Linked DNA regions of Elephas maximus indicus. The protein of the gene in region 1 purifies or fractionates together with the protein of each later gene. This does not show direct contact. Links are inferred from orthologs where the notes say so. Each region holds a gene or a part of one and is shown in the gene's direction. Other genes may lie near its edges.

Region 1 (9,659 bases):
TGAACCTTCTGGGCTAGATGTTCTTTGGTCACCCTTGATCACGTTCTCAGTGTCCTTCTTAGTTATTGCTCAGATCTTGCTTTTAAGTCCTTGTTTTGCATTTTTGATGAAAACACACATACACACGTAATTAAATTTTTTTTTTACTCAAAGTTTCAGATTCATTAGCCTATGGGTATATAAACAATTTCCTTATATTTGTTAAAATCTCTGTGGTGAGTTTTAAAATTTGGGACTAATGGATATGTTCACTATTTTGGTTGTGATGATTTCACAGATTTATATACACATCAGAACTTAACAAGTTATACATTTTATATATGTATATTTTATTATATGTCAATTATACCTCAATTTATAAAAAGCTTACCAATTTTATAAATCTTTTCAAAGTAACAGTTAATACTTATTAACTCCATTTTTGATGATTTCTGATTTTTAAAACTATTTCCTGAAATATTTAAGAAATACATGTTTATTGTAGATAAAGGCATGCTGCATGCAAGAGCTGTTGATTCATTTCCTGATAGTAGGGTATACAATTTGTCTTAAATCTATTAATTATACTACATTGCTTTCATTGTTCCTAGATTGATTTTTTAAAATAATTTTTATTATGCTTTAAGTGAAAGTTTACAAATCAAGTCAGTCTCTCACACAAAAACTTATATACACCTTGCTACACACTCCCAATTACTCTCCCCCTAATGATACAGTCCGCTCCCTCCCTCCACTCTCTCTTTTTGTGTCCATTTTGCCAGCTTCTAACCCCCTCCACCTCTCATCTCCCCTCCAGGCAGGAAATACCAACATTGTCTCAAGTGTCCATCTGATCCAAGAAGCTCACTCCTCACCAGCATCCCTCTCCAACACATTGTCCAGTCCAATCCATGTCTGAAGAGTTGGCTTCAGGAATGGTTCCTGTCCTGGGCCAACAGAAGGTCTGGGGGCCATGACCACCGGGGTCCTTCTAGTCTCAGTCAGGCCGTTAAGTCTGGTCTTTTTATGAGAATTTGGGGTCGGCATCCCACTGCTCCCCTGCTCTCTCAGGGGTTGTCTGTTGTGTTCCCTGTCAGGGCAGTCGTTGGTTGTACCCGGGCACCATCTAGTTCTTCTGGTCTCAGGATGATGTAGTCTCTGGTTCATGTGGCCCTTTTTGTCTCTTGGGCTTGTAATTACCTTGTGAGCTTGGTGTTCTTCATTCTCCTTTGATCCAGGTGGGTTGAGACTCATCGATGCATCTTAGATGGCCGCTTGTTAGAGTTTAAGACCCCAGACACCACTCTTCAAAGTGGGATGCAGAATGCTTTCTTAATAGATTATATTGTGCCAATTGACTTAGATGACCCCTGAAACCATGGTCCCCAAACCCCTGCCCCTGCTACGCTGGCCTTTGAAGCACTCAGTTTATTCAGGAAACTTCTTTGCTTTTGGTTTAGTCCCGTTGTACTGACCTCACCTGTATTGTGTGTTGTCTTTCCCTTCACCTGAAGTAGTTCTTATCTACATTCTAATTAGTGACTTAGATTGATTTTTTAAATATTAAAATGAAAATATAGATGGAGATGCAAATTTTTTTCAAGGTGTTCTTGTAGTTTTGGGACCAGGAAACTTTGGGTGTGAAGAATATGTATAGGTGGAAAAACCTGGGTACTGGCCCACAGAACAGAGGACCTTCAGTGTGAGTTAGCTAAGGACTAAGATGCAAGGATTGAACTAGAAACAGAGAGAAGCTGTTAGATTTCTGGGAAGGTACATCAAGAATTACTGAAAGAAGTTTTTTTTTTCTTCTTTTTAAAGAAAAAGGTTTTATTTGGCATATATTCAAAGAGGCAAAAGTAGGAAGTAGACAAGAATGCTGCTAGAGCCATGTCTGCCTGAGTCCAAGGAAATACTACAGAACAGACAAAAGTGGAAAAACGGACAAGCATGTTGCTAGAGCCATGTCTGCCTGAGTCCAAGGAATATGACAGAATGGACAAGAGTGGGAAAACAGACAAGCATGCTGCCACAGTGCTAGAAGAAAGTTGTCAGCATAAAAAGCAAAATGCTATCTGGATTTCCCTTATACTCTACTGCTTTGTCAAGCCAAGAGTGAAATCCTTGATGATGGAGACACCCTGCAGAAGGACCCTGAGAGTCCAGAGTCAGGATTGACTCCACTAGCCACTTTGAAAATGAATCAGAATAGTGGCCAGTGCCTTTCCACAAAGTTAAGTGTGAGCCTGGGCATTCAGAACAGGGGATTCAAACTCTTATGGAAAAGCTGAGCTCCCAGCTCAGTTACACCAAGGCAAGGACCCTGCTATTTCTGAGGGTTTTTTTTATGCCATCTGTTTGATTCAGGTCAAGCCAAATTTACTTCTCACTCTAGACACAGCTTTTCCCAGGCACCAAAGGGGGACAGAGATGCATTTGATATGGTCTCTGTCCTTAAGGAGCTTAGAATATAGTGTGAAAAGCAGACAGCGATTATGATAGCAGCTAACACTTTTCTTGCATTCTTCTAGGCATTGTTCTCAGGTCTTTACCGGCTAATTTAATTTTCACAACAGCCTAGTGAGGTAGGTATTGTGCTTACTTCTAATTTACAAAGGTAGAAATTGAGACACAGAAAAGTAATTTGCTCACTGTTACACAGCAGGTAAATGGTAGTACCAGGATTGACACCAAGAAAGTATGACTCTAGAATCTTTGTTCTTAACTACTACTTTATGCTGTTGAGCAGTGGTTTCTCAAAGTGTGGTTCCCAGGCCATCAGCATAAGCCTTATCTGGAAACTTGCCAGAAACGCACATTTTTGGGCCCTACCCCAGACCTGCTGAATCGGAAACTCTTTACCCCAGACCTGCTGAATCGGAAACTCTGGAGGCAGGGCTCAGCAATCAGTGCTTTAACAAGTCCTCCAGGTGATTCTGATACCAGCTGTTTGAGAAGACTTGAAGAAGAATTAACACATCTGAATTGTGGTGTTGGTGAAGAATATTGGGTATACCGTGGACTGCCAAAACAATGAACAGATCTGTCTTGAAAGAAGTACAACCAGAATGCTCCTTAGAAGCAAGGATGGCAAGACTGCATCTTACATACTTCGGACATGTTGTCAGGAGGGATGAGTCCCTGGAGAAGGACATCATGCTTGGTAGAGTACAGGATCAGCGGAAAAGAGGAAGACCCTCAACAAGATGGATTGACACAAGCTACAACAATGGGCTTGAGCATAACGATTGTGAGCATGGCACAGGACTGGGCAGTGTTTCATTCTGTGGTACATAGGGCCACTATGAGTCGGAACCAACTTGATGGCACCTAACAACAACAACGCTGGAGAGAAGGAAGACATGCTATGGTGTCAGAAATTAAGCTCCGCATGAGTAGGAACTGCATATAGTCCATCTCAAGTTCCTTGCCCTTTGCTCAGCATCAATAGGCATCAAAAATTACATATATGGATGAATATATGCAAAAGTGATGTTTGAGCTGGGTCTTTCATCATTTATCACTGATGGAAGGAAGGCCTGTGTCAAGAAACTGACTAGCAAGGATGTAGTCGTTCTGGCAAAATAGGATAAGGGTCTGCACCAGCACAGGGACCATTAGAATGGCAAGGGAATCATGAAAGAGCAATTCAGGAGGTAAACATATCAGGAATTGGTGAACAGCTGAACGGGTACAAGAAGCAAGGGAAAGAGAGGAATTGCCATTTCTATGAAGGTGTCATTCACTGAGACAGGAAACAGGACAAGCACGTTTGTGGGGGAAAGAGTTTGTTTTGGCAAATGTTTATGTATATATATTTACTACAATAAAGCAAAAAAAAAAATTTTTTTTTGTTCAGTTTTGGACTCCTTAAATACGAAGTGCTGATAGGCTATCCAGGTGGAGCTGTCCAGCAAACGCTTGGGAATATGAGACTTGGCTGGAGATAGAGATTTGAAAGGATAGTGGATGAGACCTTCAAGGGGAAAGTGGAGAGTGGAATGAGAAGAGAACGGGGTTGGGAACCAGGTGTACACTATTATTTAATAGAGCAAAAGCAAGAGAGGGCCCTCAAAGGAGACTGAAAAGGAATTGGACAAAATGGAGACCTCAGAAAATACAGAAGCCAAGTAGAAGATTCAAAAAAGGAGAGGCACGGATGATGTCAGATAAATAAGAACTGAAAATTATCAACTGGATTTCGGCACAAAAAGTCATTTAAGTGAGGTGATGAGGGTGAAAGCAGATTGGCGGAGTTACGGCGTGAGCTGTAAATGAGAAAGTGGAGGCAGGTCCTTCCCGAGTACCGCAGATAGAGCTCTGTCGCTGCACTTGAGTTGAGACTGTACATCTTTCAGGGTAGGCAGGCTCTGTTTCGTATCTCTGGTCTCAGCGCCCAGTACACGTCCTGGAAGACAGGGTGGCGTCAGTGAGTTCATCGACTGGGGACGGAGAAAGACTTTGCGGAGGCAGTCGCTTTGCAGCCGAGGCTTGAAGGATGAGGGTGATTGGGAGGAGAGGTGGGAGGCAGGGCTCCTGGGTGATGGGGCGCTCGAGTGTGTAGGGGGGGGTCTGGGTATGAGGTGGGGTCCCTGTAATATGCGCGTGGTCCTGTGTGAAGGAGGGTCTGTGTGTAAGTTTGGAGGGGATTATTTTGGAAAAAGATACAGGGCCGGAGGCTGTTGCGGGGGTGGGCCTCCCAGCCTCACTAACGCCGCTGCGCGGTTTCGCGGCGCCTCTACGGGAGCCCTCCCGCTGGGCTGCATGGCGACGGGTGACCACCAGGGGCCGCTGCCTCCGGTCCCCGGTGCCCCCGCCCCTCTCCATTGGCCTTTGTTGCCGTCGGAGCGCCCCGCTTGACTCGTTCCCGTCCGCCCCCTGGGCCTGGCGGCCGCGCCTGCGCACTAGCAACTGGCCGGGCGCTCGAAGGGGGAGCTGCTGCAGGCTCCGCGGCCGCGGCGGCAACGGAGGCTGCGGGGGCGGCGGTGCGAGCGGCCGGGCTTCGGGGGGGGAGCCGAGCCCGGCCCGGGAGCCCAAGCAGCTAAAGTGCGGGGTACCTAGGCCCCTCACGCTGGACTCCAAAGTCTCCAGGCCGCCTGACCTCCGCACGGGTATATGGGATGGAAGCGGGACCCTCGGGAGCAGGTAAGGGCCCCGGGGAAGGGGGGTGCTGTGCGTGCTCCAAGGACCAGAGAGCTCCCGCGTGAGGAGCGGGATTTCCGAGTGAGGGAAGGGCTCCTGAGTGAGGAGAGGGGCTCTCTTGGGATGGGGGCCCAGTTTGAAGGGGGCTGTGTGCAGTTCCGGGAGAGAAGACCTTGTGAAGGGAGCCCTGAGATGGGGGCCATTTGTAGAAGGAGGCTGTATGCAGTCCTGGGGGTGGGAAGTAATCTTGGAGAAGGCCCTGGTAGCACGCAAAGACTCGCGTATATCCGAGGAGGCCTAGGGAGAGGCCCGGCAGGTGGCAGGGGGCGGGCTCCAGGTGTCCCGGAGAGGAGGGGGCGACACAGATGGGCCCGGAGCAGCCGCATGCCGGGGGCGGGGGCTCAGCCTGGCTGGGCTGGGTTAGTGTCTCGGGGAGAAGGCGCCAGAGCTGGGCTGGAATCCCAGCCGCGGGATTCCCCCCAGTGAGTCTGGGGAGCCGGAGCAGAGGCGCCGGAGCATGCGCGGAGGTGGCAGCTGGAAGGGGCTGCCCAGTGTGGTGGGGGCGTGGCTGCCTGAGATCGTTCCCCCACCCCTTAGTCCCGGTTTGGCCTGGAAGAAGGAGCGAGCTGATGGGGTGGATTCTCTAACGTTATGCTGGGAGGGCCAAGTGGAAATGGTCCCTTCCCCCATCTTGGGGTCTCTTACACTTGGCCCTGAAGCCCCTCAGTCACAGTTTCCCAATTAAGGTTAAGAGAAACTGCCAAAGTGCTCCTCTTTGCCAGTAGAGTAAGGAAAGACTGAGACTAAAGCAGTGTTTTGGGGGGTGAAGGTGGGTCCTCCCTGAAGATAGGCCTTAGAAAAGGTGTTCGTTACTGAGGGACCAAGGCCAGGACCAAGTCTACCTGGAAGGGATTTTCTGCCTTCTTTGCAAGTTTCTGGGCCAATACTGAATAGAGATTGAAGCTTTTAATCCAAGGATGAGGACCTTTCTATTGAAATGTGTATTAAGGTGACAGCCTGATCTTTTCCTATACCTCAATATTTTCACGGTTCCTATACTTCACTGGTTATCTGTAGTCTTTCTTTCCTTTTCCCTCTCTCAACCCCCCAGAAACTGTCAGAGCCATGTCATTAGACTCTAGGTTGCTCAGCTAGGTCGGGAGGGACTAGGGTGGGAGATTTTAGCTTGCACCTTGGTGTACTGAGTTCCCGCTGATAGCCTTAACTTCTCCTTTTTTACATGCAAGCAGGAGAAAAGGAACTAAGAACAGAGGAGAAATGGAGGCAGGCCTCCCCAAGAAGACTAGGGCCCGCAGGATGATCTGTGGGGTATTGGGATGTCTTGTGTCCTAGGTCTCTTTCTTACCCTGTGATGGGAGAAAGAACATTCTGGATCCTGGAATTCTTTAGGTGACCTCTTATCACCTCCTTCCATTTGGTCTAGGAATGGAAATAGGATTTACTTCTCTGGTGGAAAGATCTTTGTCTTTTAGATCAAACCTTCTACCTTCAAGGAAATACCTCCTACGAACTCACTCAAATTATCCATTCAGTGATCTATAAATATTTAGTGACTACTCTTCTCCCGAAAAGAGAAACAACCTTACAGAGACTCTGTGGGCCCTAAGGTATGGGAATAGAGTTCAGGAAGCAACTGACTTCAGTGGTCACTACTTTCTCCCTCCCTTAGGTGCCTGTCATCATCTCAGGAGCTCTCTTGGTTTTCTAGGCTGGAGCCTGTTTGCAACAGCCTGTGGACTAGAGAAGTGCGGTGGGTCACAGAGATCCAGATGAATTTCTGAGGGCTTGCACCAATACCAACACCAGACTGCTGATGATTTTATCCTGATGAATTTATAATGGGCTCTGGAGTGATGGAAAAAGTTGACCTTTTTGTTTGTTACAAAAAATAAGGTTCTAGGGAAGGGACAAAGCCTGGTGTCTGCGGTAGCCTTAGGAAGAGCCTAGTGGGACAGGCTTCGCTTCATTAAAGGGTGTAATTGAAATTAGTTCTGGAAACTTCAGGTGGAGGAACCCCATAACTGCCTCCTTCCCAGGCTCAGACTATTAGGAGTTAGGGTGATGGCTTGAGATAGCCCGAGGACACACACAAACTGAGGCATTGTTGCAGGCCTCACTGGGCTTATGCCCAAGTATGCCAACTCTGGTCAGGTGCAGAGGCAGTGTCTGATTTATCTGTGGAACCAGCAACTGCCTAGCATAGGCCATGACACAGAGTATATTCACACTTGAACTGAATCATGTTCAAGTGTGAATATATATATGGTCAAGCGCATAATTGAATATTTGATAACCAGTGTATACTCATGTGCGGACAGATTCTTTTTGGAGAGGTTGGCCTGTTAGCCTTTGCTTATCTACCAGCTAACCCAGCCTTGGATTTGTGTTTTTTAAATAGATAGTCTGGCTCCCTGAGAGATATGTAGGCCTCTGAACTGCTGGGAAGGAATCCCTGGGCCAGGGCTTTCAGCTCTGTTACTTTTCCCTCTCTAGGCCAGTTGGGGATGGGGGAGGGGGAGTGTCCTTTTCAGGGCCCCTCCTTCCTTCCTTCTGTCTGCAGGGAAGGGCCCGCCCCTTTCCCCCAAGGCCCAAGCTTTGTCCTTCTGCTGGGGCCCTCATCTGCATCACAAAGTGGCCGTCTGTCCCTGTCTGGGTCTGAAGGGAAGTGTCTCCCTTTCTCAGACTTAAAGCTGGGGGTGGGGTGGGATGGGGGGCTTTGTACAGCTGGGAGGCGTGTAGGGGGATGGGATGAGAGAGATTACCACCTCTTCCTGCCTTCCCAAGTTCCAGGATGAAGGAGGATGGGGGCTCTCCTGTTTTCCCAAAGCATTCTTGGAGTAGAGTGTGCTCCAAGACTAAGTCTGGCGTGTACTAGTTCAATTTTGGGGGAAGGGAAGGCTTTGAGGCTAGAGTATCTGTCCCATCCCCCATCATTTCCACCCAGCCCCCAGCTCTAGGAGATGTATTTCTCCCAAGGCCCCAAACATTTATCCAGTTTGGGACGCTGAAGGAGGTAAATGGAATCTAAGAATTCAGAGGAGGGTCTCTCTTACTGGCCACATGCACAAGGGTGATATATGTTTGTCCTGTGCAGGATTTGTAATTGTTTCTGGTCAGTTGCAGGTGTTCAAGTGTTTTGTGTGCTATGTGTGGTTGTGGTGTGTCTATGGATATGTTCATTCATTTAATGTCAGTATATTGAACAGCTGTGTGCCAGGCACTGGGGAGTCAACAGGGACCAAGGCAGGTACAGTCCCCAGTCCCTGCCTTTGAAGAAAGTGCAGTCTAAGGCAGTGAGGGGCATATGTATAAAGGTAAGCTGCCTAGGTCTGTGTGTATGTGTTTGGATGTATGTGATAGAAGCGTGTCTATGTGTGTCTGTCTGACTGTGGGCTTGTGTTCAGTTTCTGTCCAGCTCTTTTGGGGTTAGGTGGCCAGATACTAGTAGTTAGGCTTTCACTTCCCCATGTAGCTGAGTTCTGAGGGCCTTGTCCGCCCTGGCTGGGCCTCCATTTCCCTGTCTGCCCAGTGGGGCTGGGCTTGACAGGTAAAGGAGACTTGAGCAGCTCAGCTCTGGGAAGTGTACCCCTCCCCTGAATGGATCTGACCTCTTCCTGACCCTCCAGCTGAGGATATGCCCCATCCCCCCCAGCCTGGCTGTGAAAGCAGAGCTCTGATGATGGGAGGCTCTGGGCTGGTTTATTCCTTTCCCTCCCACCTGGGCTGGTCCTCTACTGTGCGGGACAATTAAGCTGAGGACAAAGGCTCCTCTCAGACCGTGTTCCTTCTTTCTCCCTTTCCCCTCAAGCTGGAAAAATAAGACTGGAGGTAGCAACCAGACTGGTGACAAGAGAGGAGAAAGGAGCGGGAGCTGGCTCCGCCCTAGCCCCCTCCCAAGGGCCCCCTCTGTCTTGAAATTGATCCCTTCTGCTACTGTCTGGGCCCTCTGTGTAGAAGGAACTGTGGGACGTGAAGGGGTCAGCTGAATATAAACTGAAGGGACTGCAAAAATTTTGTATTCTCCTTCCCAGAGCCAACGTCTTCCCCTTTTCCAGCATCGTAATTGCTTCCTCTCCTTCCCAAGGCCCCTAATTCTTGCCTCCTCTTGCCTCAGTCTCCTATATTTGTTCCCCAGCTCTTACTTCGTTTGAGGATTTTCTTCATTAGTTTCTTCCATTGCAGCCTTGCTTCCTGCCCCAGTTCCCAACTCTAACCTATCTTGCCTCAGCCCCTAATTCCAGCCTTCTCTCCTTCCCCGGGCTCCCATTTCAAGCTTTTTTGTTGTTGTTGTTGTGACCCCCAGTTCCGGCCTTTTTTCTAGCCCCCTACTTCAGCCTTTCTCTTTTCCTTAACCTCCAAACTATCCTTTTAGCCTTTTTTCCTTTTCTGTTTCTCTAACCCTAGCCTCTTAGTTGCCTTAACCCTGTCTCAAATACCACCCCTACCTTAACCTGGCCTCCTTTGGCTCTTACTCCTGCCCACATTGTAGAGGAGCATTCAAAGATGATGCCTTTTTA
Region 2 (10,317 bases), on another chromosome or scaffold:
TCTAGGAGCCCCTGGCCCAGACATTCGGTCACCCTAGGGGAGGGAAGCTGTCTCCCTGACCATCAATTATGCAGGAGGTGGGGGAAGGGCAAGGATGTGACAGGAGGGGGTGGATATCTCCGTCAGTCATTCTGTCAACCATATTTACCAAGTACTTACTACGCAGACCTTTCCTCCAGATTGAGTGAGGGGACAGAGTGCCCCTGAGCCATCCCTCTTCTGGGGGAAGAGGCTCTTCGGGCACCCTGGGAGGCCTACTTCATTTTCCCCATGATCTAAATCAGCAGAGGGCATGAGATGGCCCAGGCCCATAAGCCCAATCTTTGATGCCGAACTCCTTTGACTCCAAATTTCAGCTACAACAAGATTGTTTTGCTGGTGGTTTCCAAAGTGCCCCATCAGAAGGCTGTAGGGGTGGAGTGGGGACAGGGAATCACCATTTATTCTTCCACCTAGGTTCTCCTGCCTGAGATGTTGGAAGCCTGAGGCAAGGGAACCCTCTGAATTCTCTATGGCTCCCTCCTACACTAAGAGCTGAATCTCAATGCCCAGTTGCTTGTCTGGCTGTCTTGGGGGCTCAGTTCAGAGGCCAGGCCATCTGTCTAAATCTTGGGCTCTTAGGGCTAAGCATTCTCTGCAGTCCTAGACCTCATTTTCCATTCAGGAAAAGTTTCCACTTCTCTCCTGAGTGGGTCAGGGAGGGGGGACTTCAAAGAAAAAGAGACTCAAACCTTTGGAATCCTAGTCCCCACCTCTGCAGGCTTTGAGACCCTGTGGAGGGTACAGGACTCTGACCCTTGATGGCCTGCCTCCTGTCCACTTGGCTTCAGCTTGGTTTTCGTTTTGCTTTTTTAAAGAGTCCATGGTGCTGGCCCCAGAGCTCTTCTCACATGGAACTACAGCTTCTCTCAGTGCCCTCACGAGGGGGAAATACCTTCCCCTGAGAGCCTGGGGAAACCTGGAGGTCACCCCCTAAATCCAGGTCTCCAGCCTCCTCCAGGCCAAGCCCTGAGACCCCTAGCAGCCACAACCTCTTCTTCCAGGAACACAGGCAGTGGAAGGACTTGAGGCAGGCAGGAGGGTAGTAGTATTTAGGAAACAGGAGCCAGCTTTGGAGTTGGAGATCAGGTCCTTTAGAACCCCAGCTTTGCTGCTGATTAGTTTAAGTACAATCACCTCTCTGAAACACCCAGCCCTACCTTATCAGGTGGTGCGAGTGAAGTAGGATGATGTAGGGAGTGCAGTGAGCATGCTGCCTGGCTCCTTGCTTTGTCTTCCTGGTTGGCTGGACACCAGGTCTTTCTTTGTGGATCCTGAAGAGTCCATCTCTTCTGCCTGACCAGATAAAGGGAGACTTGGTCTCCGACCTTCTAGTACCCCAGGACAAATCTCGACTCCAGGTTCCAGTGCAACCAGGTTACAATGGCAGTGGTGTACTAGAGCCCCCAGCAATAATTCCTTTCCCAGATCTTCAGTTCTTCCTCTGCAAATCCTGCCATTCCACTTGCTCTGCACAGAGGGGAAGGCCTGATCCTCTACGCTTCATCCTTGCCCCCTGGCCAATTCTCTTTGGAATCTGCTCTCTCTAGCAGCTACACCACTAAAACCCTCACCTTGATCATGTGGCACAAGATCACCCTCAGTCCCACCTACTAAGGTCTGAGAGGAAGAAGAAGACAAGAGCAAGGTATGATGGTCCAGGCCTTTCCTTCCTACTCAGGACGTCAGGTGGACTGGGACGAAGTTCAGCATATTTTAACAAGTGGTTCCTGAGCTGAACGTGCACATAAAAAGATCTGGATGGACAGCTACCAAAGTGTCACAGCTCTTAGGCAGGTGGCATTATGGGTGTTTTTATTTTCCTCTTTGGGCTTATTATATTTTTTAATATTTCAGTAATTTGTTTTAATTACTTTTAAAATAAATGTATCTTAAATTGAAAAAGAGACAATAAAAATTACAGAGTATTCATCCATTCCTGGCACTTAGCTGAGGACAACTGTGCTTTAGGGGGAGGGTGGCTGGCTGGTGTGGTGGAGAGAGACCAGGATTAGAATCAGAGAGGCTTAGGTTGAGGTCTTGTCCCTATTCCTTACCAGCAGGGTGACCTCAAGTACAAGTCATCTTAACTTCAGTTTCTTCATCTTTAAATGGGGACAATGGTATTTCTCTCACATAGTGGTAATGCAGGATGAGATGTGGTGGGCAAAAACACAGGCTCGGGGTCAGACAGACCTGAGTTTGAATCCTAGCTCTGGCCACATACTAACTTTTTGACCCTGAACAAATTAGTTTTTTGATGATAACACTACCTAACTCTTAGGCTTGTTATAAGCATTACTGAGATAATCCAAATAAAGTTCTTGGCCCAGTACCTGGCATGTAGGAAGCTCCCCATAAACATTAGCTGTGTGGAAAGTGTCTAACACATAGTATTAGATTCTTTAAAAATATGAGTTCTCTTACTTTCTTAAAGCAAGAGGCAGTAGGTAGGGTACAGTTGAAAAGGGAGGCAGAGAAGCAAGGTGAAAAAAGGAGAGCAAAAAGAAGAAACCAAAAGGCAAGGGCTATTTATCCTGCATTATCCTTATCCTTCTCTGGAATAGTGTTGTTGCTGTCTCCTTCCCCCTGTCCCCAGTACACACATGACCCTAAGTTCTCCTGGGAGCAAATGAACTAGACCAGTCTCTGGAGTCAACCAACCCCTCATGAAGCCCTTATGTCCCCTGCTGGTATCATCTTAACACTGTCCTCTTTTTTCCTCAGCAGGGACTCCTGAAGGGGTTGATTCCCTGATCCTTTCTTTCCCCCCAGGTCCTGGCAGCAGAGAGACGTAGGACTGCCCAGGATGAGCCACTAGGAGAGTCCAGGGCTGTGGGTACTAGAGCTTAGGGTCTTCTTGGCAAAGGCAGGTTTTACCAAAGTATCACCATGGAGGGAAAGACAAGGAATAGCAATTGTTTTTTAGAGGGGTTCTGCCATTCTTAGCCATAAGGAGGCCTAGGAAATCCTGAGCCACTTCCTTAACTTGAACTCCCTGCCTCCTCTGCCCATAACTGGGTTTAATTAGGAGATGAGTATTTAGTTGTGTTTTTATGTATGCTGGGAGTTGGGGTATCAAACTGTTGGTCTTCTCTGCATGATCACCTCAGACTCCAATGTGAGTGAGTGGATCAATGCCAGGCTTGAGAGGGCAGATAGTTTTTTTTCACCCTTAAATGTGGGATAGGAGGGAGCAGGGCCCTAAAACCCAGAGAAACTAAAGAAGGCACTTCCTGAATCCCTTCTGCTTGCCCAGCTTGGCATGACTCTCTAGCTGAAAATCATGCCCCCAAAGCATTGGAGTTCATCCTAAGAGGTGGACAGGAAATGCTGTTTAGAGGGAGTTATTGACTGTGGCTGGAGAGGACCATGGCAGGGATGAAGAGACCTCATGTGCACACCCTCCTGGTTGAAGTCCACTCACCTATTCTCTCAAGAGGTAGAAGAGCTAAAAGGTGGGACCTCCCCCCAATTCTAAGGGACACCATTTCCTCCCTCTGTCTATAGAGGCACTGACCCCTTGTTTTCTCTCCCCTCAGCTAAGGCCATGGATATCAGGAGTCTCAACTCTGTGGAAAGATTCTTGCTTATTTTTAAGCCAAGGAGTTTGAGGAGTATGTGGAGGCAAAGAGAAGTGGTTCTTGAAGGGCCTGAGCTGGGGGAATGGGTTAGGGGAGCCAGAGAAGATGGAAGAAGGAGGAGGGAGAGAGCCATATATAGATGGGGGAGGGGAGGATGCAACAGCTGGATGAAGAAGGTGAATGCTACAGCTGGAGGGGATTGGGGGCATCACAGCTGGAAGGGGAGGGAGACCAACGCCTGGGCATCCAGGAACAGGTGCACTCTGACTACAGTCTTAAGGTCTAGCCTGCTCTCTGTGTGTGTGTATGTGTGTGTGTGTGTGTGTGTGTGTGTGGTGGGGGGGGGGTGGGTACAGCAGGCCTTGCCCTTCCTTTCCTTTTCTGGAGGGAGCCAAAACTCTCCCTCCTCTCTCCCCCTTCTTGAAGATGAGTAGGAGGAGAGGAGGATGTTCTCTTGCCCTCTGTCCTTTCTTTAATTCTGCCCCCCAGTCACCCCACCCCCTCCTCCCCCTGCAATACCGTCATTTCCAGCTCGGGAAGCCCTTCGTCTCCAGGCTGGGCCGCGGCGTCCCACCGTTCGTTTCGCCTCCTTCCCATCCCCACAGGCATCGGGTCCAGGTTCCCGGTCCCCCCATCCCCACAGCCTCAGCATCCCCGCGCCACCCCCTCCCCCACGCCACATCTGCATCCCGATCCTCCCTTCGCACCCGGATCCCAGGACCCGGGCCCGTTCCAGCCCTCCACCCCCCGCAACTCGCCCAGGCTCTCACCTCGGGGGCTCGGCGGCCGCAGCACAAAAGGCGGCGCTGCTGCAGCTCCGCTCCGGATGCTGCTCCCGCCTCCTCCTCCTTCTCCTCCTCCTTTCTCCTCCCCCCGCCCCCCCCCCCCGCTGCCCTCGACCGGACCCGGGTCGCTGTCACAGACGAGGCTCGTGCGGTGTCCGGATGCACGGGTATCAGCCCCAGATTTATGCCCCCACCCCCCCGACCCCTAGCCCCGTCCCCTGTCGGCTCGAACTCTCGCTCTTTTCAGGGCCCCCGCCCCTGGCCCCCCGGGACGGACACGCCCTGAGCTGGGGATGCTGCGCTGGAGCCGTCGGCCTCTTAAAGGAGCCCGCTGCTGCCATCCGGCGCTTTCCAGGCTTGTCCCTGGCCCGTCTGCACCCTGCGCCTCCCTGCTGGTGGTATCCTGTAGCCGTCCTACCCTGGGTTTTATGCTGATTCCACAGGAATCCCCATGACCCGTTTTATAAACTCTCTCCTTTACCCTTATGGGACCCCCAGCGCTTTGGCATTGCTCCCCTGTCATACCCATCTTGCCAGCTCTCCTCCCCAGAATTGTCATCACTCTAGTTCCACCAAACGCTGTACGCCTCAGCTCTAGGCTCCCTCCCTCCCTCTCCACGATCATTCCAAGATTGCTCTGAACCTCCAACCTTGCTCAGGCTTCCCTGACACCTTCTTAGGACACTCATTAGAGTCAGACACTTTTCGTGATTTCTGTCTCCAAGGTCACAAGATTTCCCCTATCTCTCTCAGCCAAGTGGTTACAAGACTTTGGAGAGTGACGGATGGAGCTCTGAGACCCCAAAATAGGGGTTCTGTTCTGCACTCAGATTAGTCCGTTAGTTTTAAGAAGTCAGAATCCTCTCTTGATTTGCTTTTACCTGAGAAACCCAAGACCCACGACAGACAGCGGGGCCCAATTGCCTGAGTCCTTCTCATCCTGCCTCATCCGATAGCCTGATTCTCAGGCCCCTGAGGGGATTTCCTGGCCGGTTAAAGAGAGACTAGGGCCGCTCTAAAAAGGCTTTGAAAGGGAGGTGAAGGGTAACCTTTGAGAAAAGAAGGTTCTACGAGACGGAGGCCTGAGAACCAGGGGCTTAGGCCAAGGGGTGAGGGTCAACGCTCAGAGAGGAACTTAGGTATACATTTGTCCCAGCGCCTTGGGGGACAGAGCACAGCCCCCTCCCGCGTCCAGGTTAAGGCCCACCTCCTTCCCAGAAAGCGCTCCTCGACGCCGGGCCAATCACAGTCTTTTCTCAAGGAAAAGGCGGGGCCAAAGGGGGCCGACTCTTCCCTTGTTCCCACCCCTCTAGGCAAAACAACCAATCTCAACTTGTCTAGAGGAGGAAACGCAATCGGGAATAACCAATCACGCCGCGAAGCTTCTCGATCGCATTAGACCCTGCCCCTCCAGCTGCGACAAAAATGGCGCGCAAGCTCCTGGGTTCTGTAGTTCTCTCGGAATTCAAAAAGCCCCATTTTAGAGTTAGCCCTTACCGCCCCGCCCCCAGCGGCTTCCATTCCGCTAGTGCGCATGTCCACAGCTTCACAGTACAGGGAACGGAGGAACGGAAGGAAGGAGGCGGGACGATTAAAAAAAAAAAGCCTAAGCTTGGGAAGCGACAGAGAAGGGGTCTGCTCCTCCCAGAAGGCGGTGCTGCTTGCCAGGGCGAACCACGCGGAGGGTTGTGGGGAGGATAGCTACCCTCCTGATGGAGACACATGAAGTAGGGTGGGCGGGGGACTCCATATCCCAGCATGCCCCGCGCCGGGCCCTACCGGCCGCGACTCCGGGCTTGGCCCCGGCCCTAGCTCGTCGGCGGAGTATTGGGGCGCGTGGAGGCTGTAGTCACGGTGGCGCCCGCGGGGACGGAGGAGGGAATGAGTGAAGAGGAGCAGGGCTCCGGCATTATCACGGGCTGCGTGCTGCCCAGGTGAGCCACCTCGTAAAGAGCCCTGCAGGGCGAAAATCGTGGTGCGGCGCGGAGGCGGTAGCCGCGCGGCCCCAGCATGCACCTGGCCTGAGGGTTGTTCCCGGCAAGCACTGGGGTAGTGGGCAGTGATTCCCAGCATGCACCGAGCAGTGGCCACTGCCTCCAGCCCTAAATAGTTTGGAGTTGTCCCGGTTCCCAGACTGCCCTGGGGCACTGGGGTTTATGCCATCGAATTTTAGTGCATTTGGTGGGTACTGGGTCCCTAGCCTGCACTGTGACAGGGGACATGCACTTCCAACCTACGCTGGGGTACAGGATACCTTCACTGAGATAGGAACTGTGCATTCCTCTCCTGCCCTGGGGCAATGGATCCTGCTTTCCCAGCCTGCACCTCTACTCCACATTGAACCCAGCCAATGGCTGCTGTATTGCCAGGGTCCCCTGGACTCTCTGCGTTCCCATAATGTGCCTGGGTCTGGTATGGCAGTGCTTGGTGAGATGGGTGTAGGGGAGGTGTGATGTCGGTCTGTGCCCCTGCCCCCCAGTATAGAGCAAATGCTGGCCGCCAACCCGGGCAAGACCCCGATCAGCCTTCTGCAGGAGTATGGGACCAGAATAGGGAAGACGCCCGTGTACGACCTCCTCAAAGCCGAGGGCCAAGCCCACCAGCCTAATTTCACCTTCCGGGTCACCGTTGGCAACACCAGCTGCACTGGTGAGGAAGGATTGGGCAGCTTGGCTGGGGTGTGCTAAGCTTGTCACAGGGCGCCATGGCTTTGCTGTTTGAAGTTTATTCACAGTCCTCCACGGCTAGTGAGGGAAGGAGAAATTGCAGGGGAGAAACCACTGACTGGACTGGGAGAGCAGGGTGGTGGGGACGGGGGATAGGACTTGGGAGAGTTAGAGAGCAGGACTGCCACAGCAATCTGGCAGATCCTCGTCATCCCTGAGGAAAAAGTAGGAGGTAAACATAAATCTGAGTAAGGATTTGGAGGGGGGCTGTTAAGAGTCCTTCCTTCCAGCAGTTAGTGTAACACTTCCAGTCTTGGGCAGGGGGAGGTTAGTCAGAGGGGGCTAGCTGACTCCCTGTGGCTGTATGAAGAGAGGCTATGGGGTGCTGTCCTTCCAGTGACCTCTTCTGCCCTTCCAGTGACCTCTAGTATTGTCCGATCCCCTCTCTCAGGTCAGGGCCCCAGCAAGAAGGCAGCCAAGCACAAAGCAGCCGAGGTGGCCCTCAAGCACCTCAAAGGGGGGAGCATGCTGGAGCCGGCCCTGGAGGACAGCAGGTGAGGGAGAAACAGCCAAGGCATCCTAGAGGCTCTGCCAGCAACCAGGGCAGGCCCCTGGCCCACTCCCTCTGCCCAGTAGACCACCCTGCCCTGGCCTCTTCCTGAGTTTCCTCTGGACCTGAGCATGGTGCTTCCAGAGTTTCTGCTGCAGCGAAGGATTCTGGGGGGAGTAGCCAGCCCCATCCAGAGGTTGTGGCTATGGTTTGGGACCTGGATTAGGGAGGGAGAGGGGTGGAGCCTAAGCCTGAAGGGAGTTGCTCCCAACATGCTTTCTCTTTCTAGCAAGATGTCTTTCCATCTTCCACATTTAGGCTGGAGTTTGTTGCTTCCAGCATCCTTGAGTAGGAAGAGACCCTTCTCCCCCTTTTCGCAGTCTTTTTGATTTAGTCTTTGACAGCAGACGATCTCAGAAGGAAGAGTTGTTGGTTGAGCTTCCCTGAGTCTTTGGCTCAAGTGGGAAAGGGTTCTCTTAGGGGATGGGCATGTCAGGAAGACCTGGATCCCCCACTCTCCGTTCCCTTTACACATGTGTGTGAATCAAATGCTCCCTTCCCCTCGGGAAGTCCTTTCTCTCCCCTAGACTCTTCACTGCCTGAGGACGTCCCGGTTTTTACTGCTGCAGCGGCTGCTACTCCTGTTCTTTCTGCTGTCCCAACCAGGTATCTTTTGTCCCCTGACTGCTTGAGGTGGGAGAGGAGGGGGTCCTGGTTCCTGACCCCCAGCCCTTGGACCTAGGCTGGTCAGGGCATGAGGAAATCTAAGAGTAAACAGAGGGTGGACTAATTGGGGACCAGAGCTTGAAGAATTTGCACCAGCTGGTAAGCTGTTGGGGCAGGAAGTAATTTATGATTTTTAAATAGTCATAAGGGTGATGTTGGACCATGTTTTAAGGGTCTTGCAAGACCCATTTTCTTCTGGGTTGGCCACGTGATAGTTCTATGTCTGAGTCTCATTAGGTTCTTCCTGGGACTGGGTATACACAGTCCTTCTACTATCTTGGTGAGATGATGCCTAAACGTACAGAATGGAAATGGGGTTAGGACACATAGGAGGCCTCACATGGGTGGGAGGGGGAAGTGGACCAGAGCAGGAGGGAGGAATGCTAGACATTTGGCGAGACAGTTGCCTGCCTAGTGGGAAATAGGGAGATGTAGTAAAGCCAAGGCAATAGTTAGGACTTGGGCTTATGGGTAGCCAAGAAGGAGCCATCTCCCTCAGCTTTGGCCCTGGGCCCTTTTTCCTTCAGGAGCCCCTCCATGGAGGTACAGCCCCCTGTCTCCCCTCAGCAGTCTGAGTGCAACCCCGTTGGTGCTCTGCAGGTGTGCCCCATCCTCATTTCCTGTGCATGCTTGTCTTCCCTTGAACCAGGGCTGTGAGGGAAGCTTATGTAATTGTGCGGGGACAGGGGGGTTGCCCTGTACTGGAGGCTTTTTCCACCCCCCTTATCCCTCCTCCCTGGTGGCGTAGTGGTTAAGTGCTACGGTTGCTAACCAAAGGGTTGGCAGTTCGAATCCGCCAGGTGCTCCTTGGAAACTCTATGGGGCAGTTCTGCTCTGTCCTATAGGGTCGCTATGAGTTGGAATCGACTGGACGGCACTGGGTTGGGTTTGGTTTGGTTTATCCCTCCTCTCTTACTCAGCCTTGTGCATCGCTGGTTTTCCACCCTTTCCAAGGAGCTGGTGGTGCAGAAAGGCTGGCGGTTGCCTGAGTACACAGTGACCCAGGAGTCCGGGCCAGCCCACCGCAAAGAGTTTACCATGACCTGCCGAGTGGAACGTTTCATTGAGATTGGTAACTGGGCGGAAGGGGGTTCTTGAGCTACTGTCCCCACCACTCCATCCCCGGCCACAGGGCAGCTCCTGGCCTCACTGCAGAGCCCCAGCTCACCTTGCTTCTCAGTCCTAGGCTCAGCTCCTTCCTCCTAGTTTCTTCTTGCAGCCTATCCTTCCCCTTCGTTTCTAGTTGACCAGATTGTCAGGTGCATGAGCAGGTCCTCAGTGCCCCTTTCCAATTGACATCCTTGTGAGGGGACCCTCCAAGTGTGTCCCGGGTGGAAAGTACTGGACCTACTGGGAATAATAATCCGGCACCCTCTTCCCACATACAGGCAGTGGCACTTCCAAAAAGCTGGCAAAGCGTAACGCAGCGGCCAAAATGCTGCTCCGAGTGCATACAGTGCCCCTGGATGCCCGGGATGGGAATGAAGCAGAGCCTGATGATGATCACTTCTCCATTGTGAGTGGCTTGTGTGGGCCAGGTGCCGTGGGCCTTCGTTCATGCCAGGGCCGGGTACCGGAGACTTGGGTCTGTAACTCAGGAGTGAGCCTCTCCAGCCCAAGGCCTGCTCCTGCCTCATTTCCTACCAGATCCAGAGTTTGAGGAGCTCTTAGTCTCCACTTGTCAGCCCCTCTGAGTGGTGTGGGGGAGCTAACCCAGGGATCTGTGAGCTTCTGCTGCTGGGATGAGGAAGGCTGCCTGGCCGTCTGGGCTAGTAGTTAGCAGGGGTCTTATGGGGACTGACTGGGGGAGGCAAGCCGGAACAGGCACTCTGGGCTTTCCTCTCCTTGGATTTTGAGTGTCCCACAGTCCCTGGCTACATTGCTGTCATTGTCCCCATCTCATCAGGGCGTGGGCTCCCGCTTGGATGGACTTCGGAACCGGGGCCCAGGCTGCACCTGGGATTCTC

What was found. The genes of interacting proteins can lie anywhere in the genome.
Region 2: the proteins of protein argonaute-1 (region 1) and TARBP2 purify together in Homo sapiens (co-immunoprecipitation; 4 studies listed by BioGRID and IntAct, with this or other methods). This does not show direct contact. The link is inferred for Elephas maximus indicus from reciprocal best matches to the Homo sapiens genes AGO1 and TARBP2.

Annotation. Positions count from the first base shown.
Region 1 is NC_064821.1:77,239,295-77,248,953, forward strand, and holds the start of protein argonaute-1, read left to right. Parts: upstream 1-4,880; 5' UTR 4,881-5,099; coding exon 5,100-5,124; intron 5,125-9,659.
Region 2 is NC_064822.1:108,992,262-109,002,578, forward strand, and holds the start of TARBP2 (RISC-loading complex subunit TARBP2), read left to right. Parts: upstream 1-6,062; 5' UTR 6,063-6,289; coding exon 6,290-6,342; intron 6,343-6,364; exon of another isoform or gene 6,365-6,589; intron 6,590-6,887; coding exon 6,888-7,057; intron 7,058-7,525; coding exon 7,526-7,628; intron 7,629-8,194; coding exon 8,195-8,290; intron 8,291-8,877; coding exon 8,878-8,950; intron 8,951-9,304; coding exon 9,305-9,422; intron 9,423-9,738; coding exon 9,739-9,866; intron 9,867-10,256; coding exon 10,257-10,317. UniProt on the Homo sapiens protein: Required for formation of the RNA induced silencing complex (RISC). Component of the RISC loading complex (RLC), also known as the micro-RNA (miRNA) loading complex (miRLC), which is composed of DICER1, AGO2 and TARBP2.